Coturnix japonica: one gene and its partners. The protein of the gene in region 3 purifies or fractionates together with the protein of the main gene of each other region. This does not show direct contact. Links are inferred from orthologs where the notes say so. Each region holds a gene or a part of one and is shown on either strand. Other genes may lie near its edges. The genes, in order: PFDN1, PDRG1 and PFDN4.

The links.
Region 1: the proteins of PFDN4 (region 3) and PFDN1 purify together in Homo sapiens (affinity purification with mass spectrometry; 5 studies listed by BioGRID and IntAct, counting the BioPlex papers as one, with this or other methods). This does not show direct contact. The link is inferred for Coturnix japonica from reciprocal best matches to the Homo sapiens genes PFDN4 and PFDN1.
Region 2: the proteins of PFDN4 (region 3) and PDRG1 purify together in Homo sapiens (co-immunoprecipitation; 3 studies listed by BioGRID and IntAct, counting the BioPlex papers as one, with this or other methods). This does not show direct contact. The link is inferred for Coturnix japonica from reciprocal best matches to the Homo sapiens genes PFDN4 and PDRG1.

The regions. Positions count from the first base shown.
Region 1 is NC_029528.1:15,558,064-15,562,271, forward strand, and holds the start of PFDN1 (prefoldin subunit 1), read right to left. Parts: upstream 2,887-4,208; 5' UTR 2,795-2,886; coding exon 2,762-2,794; intron 2,590-2,761; coding exon 2,423-2,589; intron 1,662-2,422; coding exon 1,587-1,661; intron 1,466-1,586; exon of another isoform or gene 1,332-1,465; intron 1,300-1,331; exon of another isoform or gene 1-1,299. UniProt on the Homo sapiens protein: Binds specifically to cytosolic chaperonin (c-CPN) and transfers target proteins to it. Binds to nascent polypeptide chain and promotes folding in an environment in which there are many competing pathways for nonnative proteins.
Region 2 is NC_029535.1:8,958,176-8,961,555, reverse strand, and holds PDRG1 (p53 and DNA damage-regulated protein 1), read right to left. Parts: upstream 2,043-3,380; 5' UTR 1,969-2,042; coding exon 1,885-1,968; intron 1,810-1,884; coding exon 1,734-1,809; intron 1,657-1,733; coding exon 1,582-1,656; intron 1,418-1,581; coding exon 1,337-1,417; intron 946-1,336; coding exon 863-945; 3' UTR 535-862; downstream 1-534. UniProt on the Homo sapiens protein: May play a role in chaperone-mediated protein folding.
Region 3 is NC_029535.1:11,098,496-11,102,227, forward strand, and holds PFDN4 (prefoldin subunit 4), read right to left. Parts: upstream 2,323-3,732; 5' UTR 2,210-2,322; coding exon 2,186-2,209; intron 1,902-2,185; coding exon 1,794-1,901; intron 1,476-1,793; coding exon 1,335-1,475; intron 946-1,334; coding exon 814-945; 3' UTR 529-813; downstream 1-528. UniProt on the Homo sapiens protein: Binds specifically to cytosolic chaperonin (c-CPN) and transfers target proteins to it. Binds to nascent polypeptide chain and promotes folding in an environment in which there are many competing pathways for nonnative proteins.

The DNA of each region.
Region 1 (4,208 bases), on a different chromosome or scaffold from region 3:
AGCATTCAGACAAAATTCTGAAGCTTAAGCTTTCGGCATAGTTCTCAAAGCAGCACGATGATATCAGTTCACAAATAGCTTAAGCAGGAGTCCACCACAGTGGTAGTTGTCTCAGGCTAGATAACAAGCCTTTCAAAGAGCATGAAGTAAGAGAATGAAAATGTATTTGGCACGGTGCCACTACTCAGATGATATCCTAGTCAAACAGATATGTACAGTACACAGCAATTCATCACCTCATACTATGTGGCACTGACAATGGTTGTGTTAAACCAAAATTAGCTACAGTAAATGTTTAGGAACAACAAATGGGCTTTCACATTTGCCAGTGGCTCAGGGAAAGCCTCTTGGGCAGGAAGCAGGCTCTGGGCTCAGAGCAGGAACCACATAATTCTTTACAAGTAGCGCAGAAGTATGGAACTAGGTAGACTTCTTCCCAGGATACAGCACACCATCACATTCCTGAAACACTCCGTTTTCACAAAGTCCTGGAATAGCTCGTTCTACCCAAATAGAACTACTAATTTGAAAGGCAGACTTAAGCCCCATGGCCAAATCAGGCATAACTCACAGAAACACTGCAGTAAGCTAAGGAAGGGGAAATAAAAGTAAAATAAATCAGTGAATAAGTAGTTTGGAGAGCATGAGCACTCTTAACCTGAATTTGCATAGTGACTAGGACAACAGAACCCGCAAAGAGTTCACACTTCAAACATTTGAAGACTAATATCATGCAGATAGTATTTTTCTACCATCACTGAGGAGCAAAGTGCTGCACAGCAGAGTCTGAACCACCTGCCCGGTCACATGAAGGTAAGCAAGAGTACAGTCTCAAAAAGACTGGACTCCAGCAGCTGGGTTGAAAGCAGGACAGTACTTTTCAGTTAGCACAGAAACATTATCTCATTCACAACCAACATTTTACAATGAAGGCTGATATATTGATGCTTTCAAAGAATCTTGAGGAATTATTTCATAATGGAGAAGTATACCCTGCTTTAAGATTAAAGATAAAAAAATAAAAAAAAATTTGAAGAAAAATTGTTGCTTCCAGAATCTCTTAGTTTGTCTTTTCTGTGACAAAAACAATGAGCCTACAGCCTGCCTGGGTCATATCAGCTATCTCCTGCAAGAGATCTGCAAATTCTATCTCCTTTCAACATCATCAGCAGCTCCACACAAACCCAAGTTCATCTGCTTGGAAAACTTAACAGGAGTAATTCCACAGTGGTCCAAAGAAGGCTGTCACGCTACACACCCCCCCATCAAAATCACAGAGTAGCTTCAGTTGGAAAGGACCTAGAGACCACTGAGCTTCAGTTGGGAAGGACCTAGAGACCACTGAGCTTCAGTTGGGAAGGACCTAGAGACCACTGAGCTTCAACCCTCTGCGGCAGGCAGGGCTGCCAAATACTAGATCAGGCTGCCCAGGATGAACCCAGGCACAGCTTCATTTTCCCATTGGTCTTACCTGACAACTACCAGTGAAGCGCAGTCCACATACCAGTCCTGGCTTCCCAGCCCGCAGCTCCCTAAGACTCACCCAACAGATTGTGTGATGACATGAATCAGGCCCAGGAACTCACCGCAACAGCAGGCTGAACCAGCTACAAGTCTGCTGCAGCACAAAGGAGAGTTGGGAGCGGGGAGATGCAATCGCCCTGTGGGCAGCAATCAAATCAGATTCAACCTTCTATAAAACATCATCCCTGAATAAGCGTAATCATCACTGTTGCCCAGTTCACAATGGAAGAGAAAAAGCACACACAGAAAGTTAGCACGGCACAGTGAGTCAGCACACACGTCAGACTGGAACCCAGTTTGTGTGTTGCACTTCATGAGGCTGCTGCAGTCAGAGCTGCGCTGCCAGAATAACCCAGGTGCATCACTGCAGGTGTGAGGTGTGAGACACCACCCAGCGCGGGCAGGCGGCTCCTCGAGTGCGCATCAGCCTCGTGCTCACTTCCAAATGCTGAGGCACGTGGACACCACCAGCCCGACACACACTCGCTGGTGCTGCCCAGGGCACCGTGCCCGGGTGCACACCGATGCTCCGGGTGCACACCGATACTCCGGGTGCACACCGATACTCCGGGTGCACACCGATGCTCCGGGTGCACACCGATACTCCGGGTGCACACTGATGCTCCGGGTGCACACCGATACTCCGGGTGCACACCGATACTCCGGGTGCACACCGATGCTCCGGGTGCACACCGATGCTCCGGGTGCACACCGATGCTCCGGGTGCACACCGATGCTCCGGGTGCACACCGATGCTCCGGGTGCACACTGATGCTCCGGGTGCACACCGATACTCCGGGTGCACACCGATACTCCGGGTGCACACTGATGCTCCCCCGATGCTCCTCGTGGAGCCCAGCATCCCTGCTTCTGCAGGGACGGTGCGGCCGCTACTCACATCCTGCCCACGCCCTCGTACATGCGCGTCTCGTCCACCAGCGTCATGATCTCGGTGTCGGTGAGGTGCGCGTGCTTCTTGCTCTTGCTGAGCTGCTCGATCTGGATGTCGGCGAGCTTCACCTTCTGCTGCGTGTCGATCACCTTGGCCTGCAGCTCCGTGAAGGCCTGTGGTGGCAGAGCGGCACGTCGAGCGGCTGCGGCCGGGCCGGGGGCAGAGGGGCGGGGGGCGCCCGGCCGGGCCGAGCCGGCCCAAACTGCGGGGAGAGGAGGGGGAGGAGGGGGAGGAGGGGGAGCAGCGGCCCGAGAAACACGTCGGACGGAGCCGGACACCCGTTACCTTCTTCAGCTCCAAGTCAACGGGCGCCGCCATCTTCCCCACGCTCGGCGCCTGCGCAGTGGGGGCGGTGGGAGGGCGGGGCGGAGCGGGCTGCGGCCGAATGGAGGTTAGAGCGGGGTGGGGTGGGAGGGGGCCGAGGAGCAGCAGGTTCCAGCCCACCGACCTCCATATCTGATACATGGCACAGGGCTCCATCCAGCCCGGCCTTGAACACAGCCAGGGATGGGGCATCCACAGCCCCTCCGTGCAGCCTGTGCCAGCACCTCCCCGCTCTATGTGTAGAACTTCCCCCAACATCCAGCCTAAACCTTCCCTCCTTGGGCTTAAAACCTTTCCCCCTTGTCCTATCACTGTCCACACCAGTAAAAAACTGATTCCTCTCCTGTTTATTATCCCCTTTTAAATGCTGGAAGGCTGCAATGATGTCACCCCACAGCCTTCTCTTCTCTAGGCTGAACAAGCCTGGCTCCCTCAGCCTGCCTTCATCGGGGAGGTGCTCAGCCCTCACAGCATCCCACCAATGCTCCTCTGGGGGGAATGGAACCACCCGCGGGGCTGTGGCTGTTCCCAAAGGGAGGCAGCACTGCAGCTTTGGGGTTTCTCCTTGGCTGCCTCCCTCAGAAGCGCAGGCCGAGCTCCGCTCCTGCAGTGCTGCAGCTCTTCTGCTCCATGCAGATCATGGCTGTGAGGTGAGCAATGGTGGCACTGCACTGCACCAACACTTGGTTATCAAACAGGCTGCTGTAACACACTGTGTTGGTTTGGATTTGGTTTTAAATTAAATCCAAAGATTCTGCCTGCCTACGAGCCTTGCTCTGGAGAACAGCCGGTGTTCGTGGAGGAGGAGGTGTGCTGCAGGTTGCAGGGCTCAGTGCTGGGGCACAAGGAGTGTCAGCAGTGGGATGGAGCACTCGAGGGAGGCAGGCTGGGTGGCAGGGCTCAGTGCCTTGCTCCAGGCCCCTGCTGGGCACTGGATTTAGATTGCAGTGGCTGAACTCAAGGTGGCTTTGCTTCACCCAAGCATTGCAGCCATTCATGAGCCAGCCGAGATACAAGAACACGCGGGGCTGCCACAGCTGCAGGTTCCAGGGCAAGGAGCAGGGCAGACCACACCCCAGCTCCCCATAACCCTCCCCCCTCCAGGGAGTACCCCAGCAGGATTATCCCTGCTGCACCCCAAGGCCAGCAGGCTTGAGATCTGTGCCGCTGCTCCACAGATGCTCCTGGGTAGTTTTAGTACCCCACCATAAAGGGCAAGTTGTTATCTGTACCCTTTGGAGACCTGACCCACATCTCTTAAATCAACAACTCACGTGTTTGTTACAAAGTTATTTATTAGAATATTACATTGCACTTAAAAAATAAAGGAGGTCTGACCCACACAAGGGTCATCTTGAGTTACACAAAGGGTACAGAGGCAGACCTCCAATAAATATAAATACTATGT
Region 2 (3,380 bases), about 2.1 Mb from region 3:
GTGCCTCAGATACTAAGTTAACATTACTTTCAGTCTGTGCATCTCTAACTTAAGCCTGAAGTGGAGAGCAGATGAGCTACCTGGAGAGCCAGAGCTGATTTTATGACCTCTGCCAAAACTATTATGACTTAAATCAGTTATCCCATTGCTACAGGCCAAATCCAGCCTGTTCAAGCTGCAGTTTTTGCTAATATGTGTCCATTTTATTCTTTCATCCTGTTTTGAGAGCCTTATTTTTCTGTATTCTCTTGGCTCCCACCTTGACAGCAGCCTGTGTTTTCCCATTGAGACAAACACGCTGCTGCCTTCTGTTCCTCCCTACGCATCTCTCAGGAGATTCCTGACGTGTTTCAGATGCACGGGTTTCATTTCATTTTAATACCACAGGCACACACAGCTCTTCTATACTCTGGGCACGCTGTACATTTACAATTCCTCCTACTTCTGTTCCTGACACTGCAGTGAACTCGCTCTGCAGCCAAACTACAGAAGCTCTCACATAACAAACCCAACAACAAACACACACACACAGAGTTAGGAATGCCCCACAGTGCTGGTTTTAATAATCCCCCTTGCAGGCGGGTGTTTGTCAGAGGCTGTGAATAAGCCACTGTTCCAGCAGTTGCCTCAGCACTGCTCTGCCACCGGCAGCAAGGAGTGGGGAGAGTTTACAGCCAGAATTACAGCTGAGGAGCTGTATCCTTCCCTGTGCCCACCAGGTTCTTTAGGAGAGGCTCCAGCAATGCAGGAGAGCTGGAAATCCTACAGGCTGTGTCTGATGCAGTGCAAATGCTGTGAGTGATACCCGACCACCGCAGGCTGAGCAGTGCTTGCACACGGTTGTGGTGGTGGCAGGGCTGTCTCAACCTTCCAGGATGCGATTGATCAGTTTCATTTCCTCTGCACTCATGGGGTTCAGGTTAAATCCCTTCAGCTCAGGTTTACCTGTAGGGATGTGCAGAACGTTGGGGTTTTGCTATAAGACACATGAAGCATTCCATGTGAAACCACGCAGCAATGATGGCTCTCAGCATCGTGAAGGTTGGAAAAGAGCCCTGAGATCATGAAACCCAACCCTGCCCACATCCCTCAGTGCCACATCCCTGCGGTGCTGGGATGCCTGCAGGGATGGTGATGGAGAACCAATTGTTCCTACTATCCACCCTGGTCGTTGCTGTGTGTATCCAGCACGCTGCTGGCTGACAGCTTTACCAGGGTAGGGAGGGAATGACAGAGTGAGAGGAGGAGCAGCCCCGGCAGCACTCACACATTGACTTCTCCCCAGCATCTGCAGCCAGACCTTTGCTGTTGGGGTTCAAGACCAGGAGTGTTTTACCTTGAGCTTCAAAGAGACGGTTGACCTTCACACGCAGCTCTTTCCGGAGGTTGTTTATCTCCTCATCCAGCTGTTCCTGATCTGAAAATAGCAGGGCAAGAATAAGGGGGGTTAACCCATGACATGGGGACTGGGGTTGAACAAGGGACCAACAGAGACCCTGCCGGGCTGTGTGAGCAGGGCAGGATGGCAGCATTGCTCTGTTTTAGCTCCGAGCTCCTCGGGGTGAGCAGATCCCTCCGTACCGCTCTGCAGCATCTCCTTGGCCTTGGCCTTGTGCAGCTCGATGAAGGTGCTCCCGAAGCACACCATGGCTTTCCCTGCAGTGAGGACCAGCCGTGCTCAGCGCTGTGCCCCGCACACACCGCCCCGATCCCGGCCGAGCTCCGGGACTCACCGTCCGGCTCCGGGTCTTTAAGCAGCGCCCGCAGCGCCTCGCGGTTCCGGTTCCGCTTCACGTCCAGATCGACGATCTGCAAAGAGACGGGAGGGGATGGGGATAAAGGGGGGGGTCGGGGGTTGTCGGGCCGAACCGGGTCGGGTCTCACCTGCTGCCGTGCGGCCAGCACGTCCTCGGCCAGCTCCTCCACCTCGGCCAGGTAGCGCAGCACAAACGCTGGGTCCCGCGCCATGTCGGGCCGCTCCGCCCCGTCCCATCCCCGCTCCCCGCCGGGCGGCAGCAGCGGCCGCGATCCGGAGTTCCGCGTAGAGCGCCCCCGTGTGGACACTGCGGGAATTGCAGTGTCAATTGCTGACAATAGCAGGACACGGGGAAATGGTTTTGAGTTAAAAGAGGGAAGATTTAGGTTGGATGTTAGGGGGAAGTTCTTCACTAGGAGAGTGGTTAGGGCCTGGAACAGGCTGCCCAGGGAGGTTGTGGATGCCCCGTCCTTGGAGGTGTTCAAGGCCAGGTTGGACGGGGCCATGGGCAACCTGATGTAGTAAAGGTGTATGTTTGGTGGCCCTGCCAGGCAGGGGGGTTGGAACTACATGATCCTTGAGGTCCCTTCCAACCCGGCTCATTCTGTGGTTCTGTATGTGAATCGGCCGGGCAGTGCTGTGGGGCGGCTCTGAAACACGGGGTGAGATTTCAGGGCTCCCCTGGTGGAGCTGAGGGTTGGGTTCAGTCATTGCTTCCATCCTGGGGTGTTCTGTGGTTCTGTGGCTGCCAGGAGCGAAGCTCTTGGTGCGCAAATAATCCCCAGAGGAAGATTAAGCAGATCGGAAGATTACCGGCCTTAATCTCGTAAAGTCGTTTGTGACAGTTAACGGGAGAGATCTCGGTCTGTGGCAGAGTGTGCTGAAAGAAGAAGGTGCCCAGTGAAGTGGTGGAAATGAGCACTGCCCGTCTGCATCCAACCCCGTCCTAGCGGGGACTTGGAGCTCGATGATCCTTGAGGTCCCTTCCACCTCGAGCCATCACATTCTACGTGATAGCAGTAGCAGAGAGAAGCCTGATGTCCACCCCTGAAGCAGGCAGTGCTACTCAGCAGCTCACAGCAAAATAAAGGCTGTGGGTTTACCGTGGCCACACAGAGGGTTGCATGAGAGCTGCAGCTGAGCTGTGGCAGGAGGCATCACAAAGCTTTGGGCACCTGGAAAACATTCCCAAGGCAACGATGGCTGCTGGTGCCATGCTCTGCAGGCCTCTCCCACAGCAGGCCCTGAGCCAGATGCAAATCATCACAGCCTTCCTTCTCCTGGACCCGGCGCCGTAGGAAAGCTGCTTGCCTGGAAGCTGGACTCAGCCTGAAGGCTGGAGGCTCGTTCAGATTGATTGCATGTTTATGTGCCCTCCTGGGAACCTGTCTGTGCAGACAGAGCATGTGGTCATCCACTCGCTGCTATGGGATGGTTTGCATCTGTCTGTATTTTGTGGCGTAAAGGGAAGGTCTGGGTTTCAGCACGTTCCTTTTTCTTTCTTCCTTGAATCACTTTCATTTATGCAGCTCAGAACCCTCCCTGCCTGCCTGCTGACAGCTGCACAGGAAGGCTTCAGGGATGTTTATGGGGTGGGTTTTTTTTCCTTCTCATCTTTCCCTGT
Region 3 (3,732 bases):
CCCCCCCCCTTTTCTTTAAAGAAGCCATATCCATCCTGAAAATTGCAGGGTACGCAGCCATAACTATGCTTGGAACAGAAGAGCTGGCACAGCAGTCCCTTAGGAATTAAAGTGTTATCAATCAATTAATGAGAATAATCACAGCAGTCACAGTTTCCATTTCAACACAATCTGTTCTGGCCAGCAGAGCCCAGACACAAGTTTACCATGAAGCAGCTCCCCCAGTTCTCTGCTGCCATCTGCTGGATGCTTCTTATTACAGGTCAAACTCAGCCTAAACTAAAAAGACTTTATTTTTTTTAAATATGTAAAGATGGATTTAGAAAATGAACCTTGAGGAAAATTAAAGAGGTTAAGGACTCATCATTCTGATTTACAATCTCACAGCTCAATGCAAGACCGTGCCCTAAATGTCACCTGTCCATCAATACAGTGTAAAAAGAAGAAAAAAAACAGTTCCCCACTTCTGTTGCTTTTATACAACAGATTTTAAGTATTTACAAGAGATGAAAACAAGACCAAGGAAACTATAATATATGCCTGACTTTATTACTTTAGCAAACAATGCAAACATGCCAACCTTGGTGCTTTACCAACAGTATGAAGCTACTGCTTTCCTGAGCAAATAAATAACTGCAAAAACCAAAATATGAGAGCTCTCATTAAATAGATGGAACCCGAGACAGGAAAGTAGAAAAAATAAAAGAAAAAAATAGGTCACTTTTTCTTTTTTTTAAACATTTTTTGGAATTTTTTGATAAGTATCAAACAATTAATAAACAAGGAAAAGACACGTCGTGTTTTAGAGAACTTTTAACTGTCCTCAGCCTCGAGATTTATGTTATTTCCAAACTTGGCATAGAGCTGAACTTTCAGGTCAGACAGCACTCTTTGAATTGATTCCACTCGGGATTCTAATGTGTCAATTTCTTCTTGTAAACTTCTCTGAAAAAGAAAGAAATCAGCTGGTTACGTACAGCAAACTGAGCCATGTTTGGCAGCAACACTTCAATGATTAAAAGGCACCTCCTTGACAACTTCTAGTCAAGGTGTGCTGTAACACGTTCAGGGAGCCAACTGAAACCCATCAATACTTTGTCTAATGACAACTCCATGAGCTTACATTTGCACACATTTCCCTCCCCAAAATCATAAACCAAACATGAATGTATTGCATTAGAGAACCTATATAGGTGAATGATGAGAGTACGCACATAGGATGCATCAAAGAAGATTCTCATTTATATTTAGTCTATAAATCCTTGTGTAGGACAGAACTTTGTACTCCAATAGTAAACTGTGAAGTAAAGGAGCTCCCTTTAGCTCTGACAAACCTTTGCCTCCTCCAGCATCTCTTGTGTCTCCTCTTGGGAATGGCTAATGAAGACATCTCCAATTTGGTAGGGTACGAAAAGTGAATCATCGTCAAGCATCATGATGTCATCACAGGCATCTTCCAGATTCTGAAGCTGTTTCTGTCAAGATGTAAGAAAGGTGATAAAACTTGTACTGTATGAGTGACTTCAGTGAACGCAATGTCACAGGATCAGCTGAATATCCAACTTCACATCTGGGGCATCTTAAATTCAGTGGAATTGTACCAATAATTACTCAACACTTACTATGTCTCATTAACAGCATAATTAACCACCTAAACTAAGGAAATACAGGAGGCATATTCCACTGCTGCCTGATTTGCTGCCATAAAGGCTTTCTTTTACTTAGTTACGGCCACTATTTTCTATGCTACAACCAGAAATTAACTCAACAAACCAAACGTAAAGCAGGTGTACCTTTTTCACCTCTATTTCTTCTTTCAGCTCCGTGATCCTGCTGGTATTTCTCGCAAACTTGTTAATTTTCTGCTGATCCTCAAAAGTAACGTTGACATCTTCGGCAGCCTGCAAATATCAGAGGTCAACACGAAGGCTCGGCCTCTTCATCAGGTTCCAATCCAACCTTACCACGAGATGCTCCCCACAACACAAAATAACCCCTACAACAACCTGCCCACATGCCATACTCCTTACAGGGCCGCAGGGAACGGGCAGAGCAGCCCGAGGTCTCACAAGGGCCGGGCTGGGAGCTGAGGGGACCCGGCCCAGGAAGGGGAACCGGGGACAGAGAGAGACAAAGCGACATGGAGAGCAGGACAGGGCTGGGAGAGCCCGCAGCCAACACTCACCGCTTTCTTCATGGTGGCGGCCATGTTGGCAGGGCCGAACTATTCGCCTTCCCTTCAGAGGAGGAAACCCACTTGGAGAATGAGAAGAAAAACGATGACAGCGCGAGGCAATGGCCACACGAGGCGGCTTGAGACAGCTCGAGGCGTCCGTTCATCCTCCATAACCACCCATAAGGAGCCCATCTGCCCGGAGCGAGCCGCGCCGACATCATTATCCCCCCCGTTACATCAGCGATTGGTACATCCCACCTCGAGGAGGGGACACGCCGCTCCGCCTGCAGGAGTGATGCTGCCACCAGGGGGCGCCACTGAACTGCCCGGGTTGCTGGTCCATAAACAGAAGCTGGCACTCACACCGTGTCATTGCATCCACATGCTTTGGTTTATTTAACTCCTCTCACGTCCACAAAACAAAACGGCGGTGAAAAATCGGATCATCATCTCGTTTCACAACTGCGGGGGAGAGAGCTGGGAGCCGCAGGCAGCTGGGGGTGCGAGGCATCATCTGCACGGGGGAATAAATGGGAGGCTCTTACCCACACAGCTCAGAAATGATGGGATCCCTGTCAGCGTTTTGTGCTGGGTTGGTTGGTGCACCCCGTGATACTAAAACAGCGGCTGGGTGGCTCTGATGAGGATCCCGAGGGCTCCGTGCTGAGCCCGGCTTTGCTCTGCCAGCATCATAATGCAAAATGATCAGTATCAGAAACATACACACCCGGCAAAGACAGATACTGGTGCCATGTAGTGTTGTCAGGTGTGGAAGGAAACAATCAAACAATCCTGTAATGGAAGGTGTCTGAACGTATTTTCAGGTGTTTTTCCTGTGATTCATCTTTCTGTTATGCGCAATTGAAAGTGATTAGAGTCAGATCCAGAGAAAGTTGCTGGGTATGGGGAGCCAAAGCTGGGTATGGGGAGTGAAAGGTGTGCTGACTTATACAAGGAACTCTGAAATCTGCATTAGGGTCTGTGGGTCTATGAGTGACGTGTGGGGAGATAACAAAGAAAACCAGCTGGTGCTGTGAGTGAGATGAGTGAGGTGAGCACATTCAGTCCCAGGCAGCCAAAACAATGATAAAAAACATTTTCTGAAGGCAAAATCTATGTAAGCTGTCTCTCCGAGGTGATGCTTTAAATAGTCTGATTGTATGCAACAGTCCTGTTCTTAGGACCTGATAAGGGAGACTAACATACACTTCACTGCCTGATGGCATCCATATCTTCTACCTCCCTCCTCATATATTAACCATGAACAGCTTAAGATGTATTACAAAGAATATTTTCTCATCTTTCCTGGAGGCCCTTCTAGGTACTGGAAGGCCACTGGAAAGTCTCTTGGGATCCTCCCCCTGAACTCTCCCAACCTATCTTCATGGGATTGGTTCTCCAACCCTCTCAGCATCCTCATGGCCTCCTCTTGACCCACTCCAATAGATCCATGTCTTTCTTAGGCTGGGGGACCAAGGGCTGAACACTCTTCCTGCAATTGGTTCTTGCTAGAAAGAGCTAGAATACACACATTGTGTTCAAGTTTAAGTGTGTGT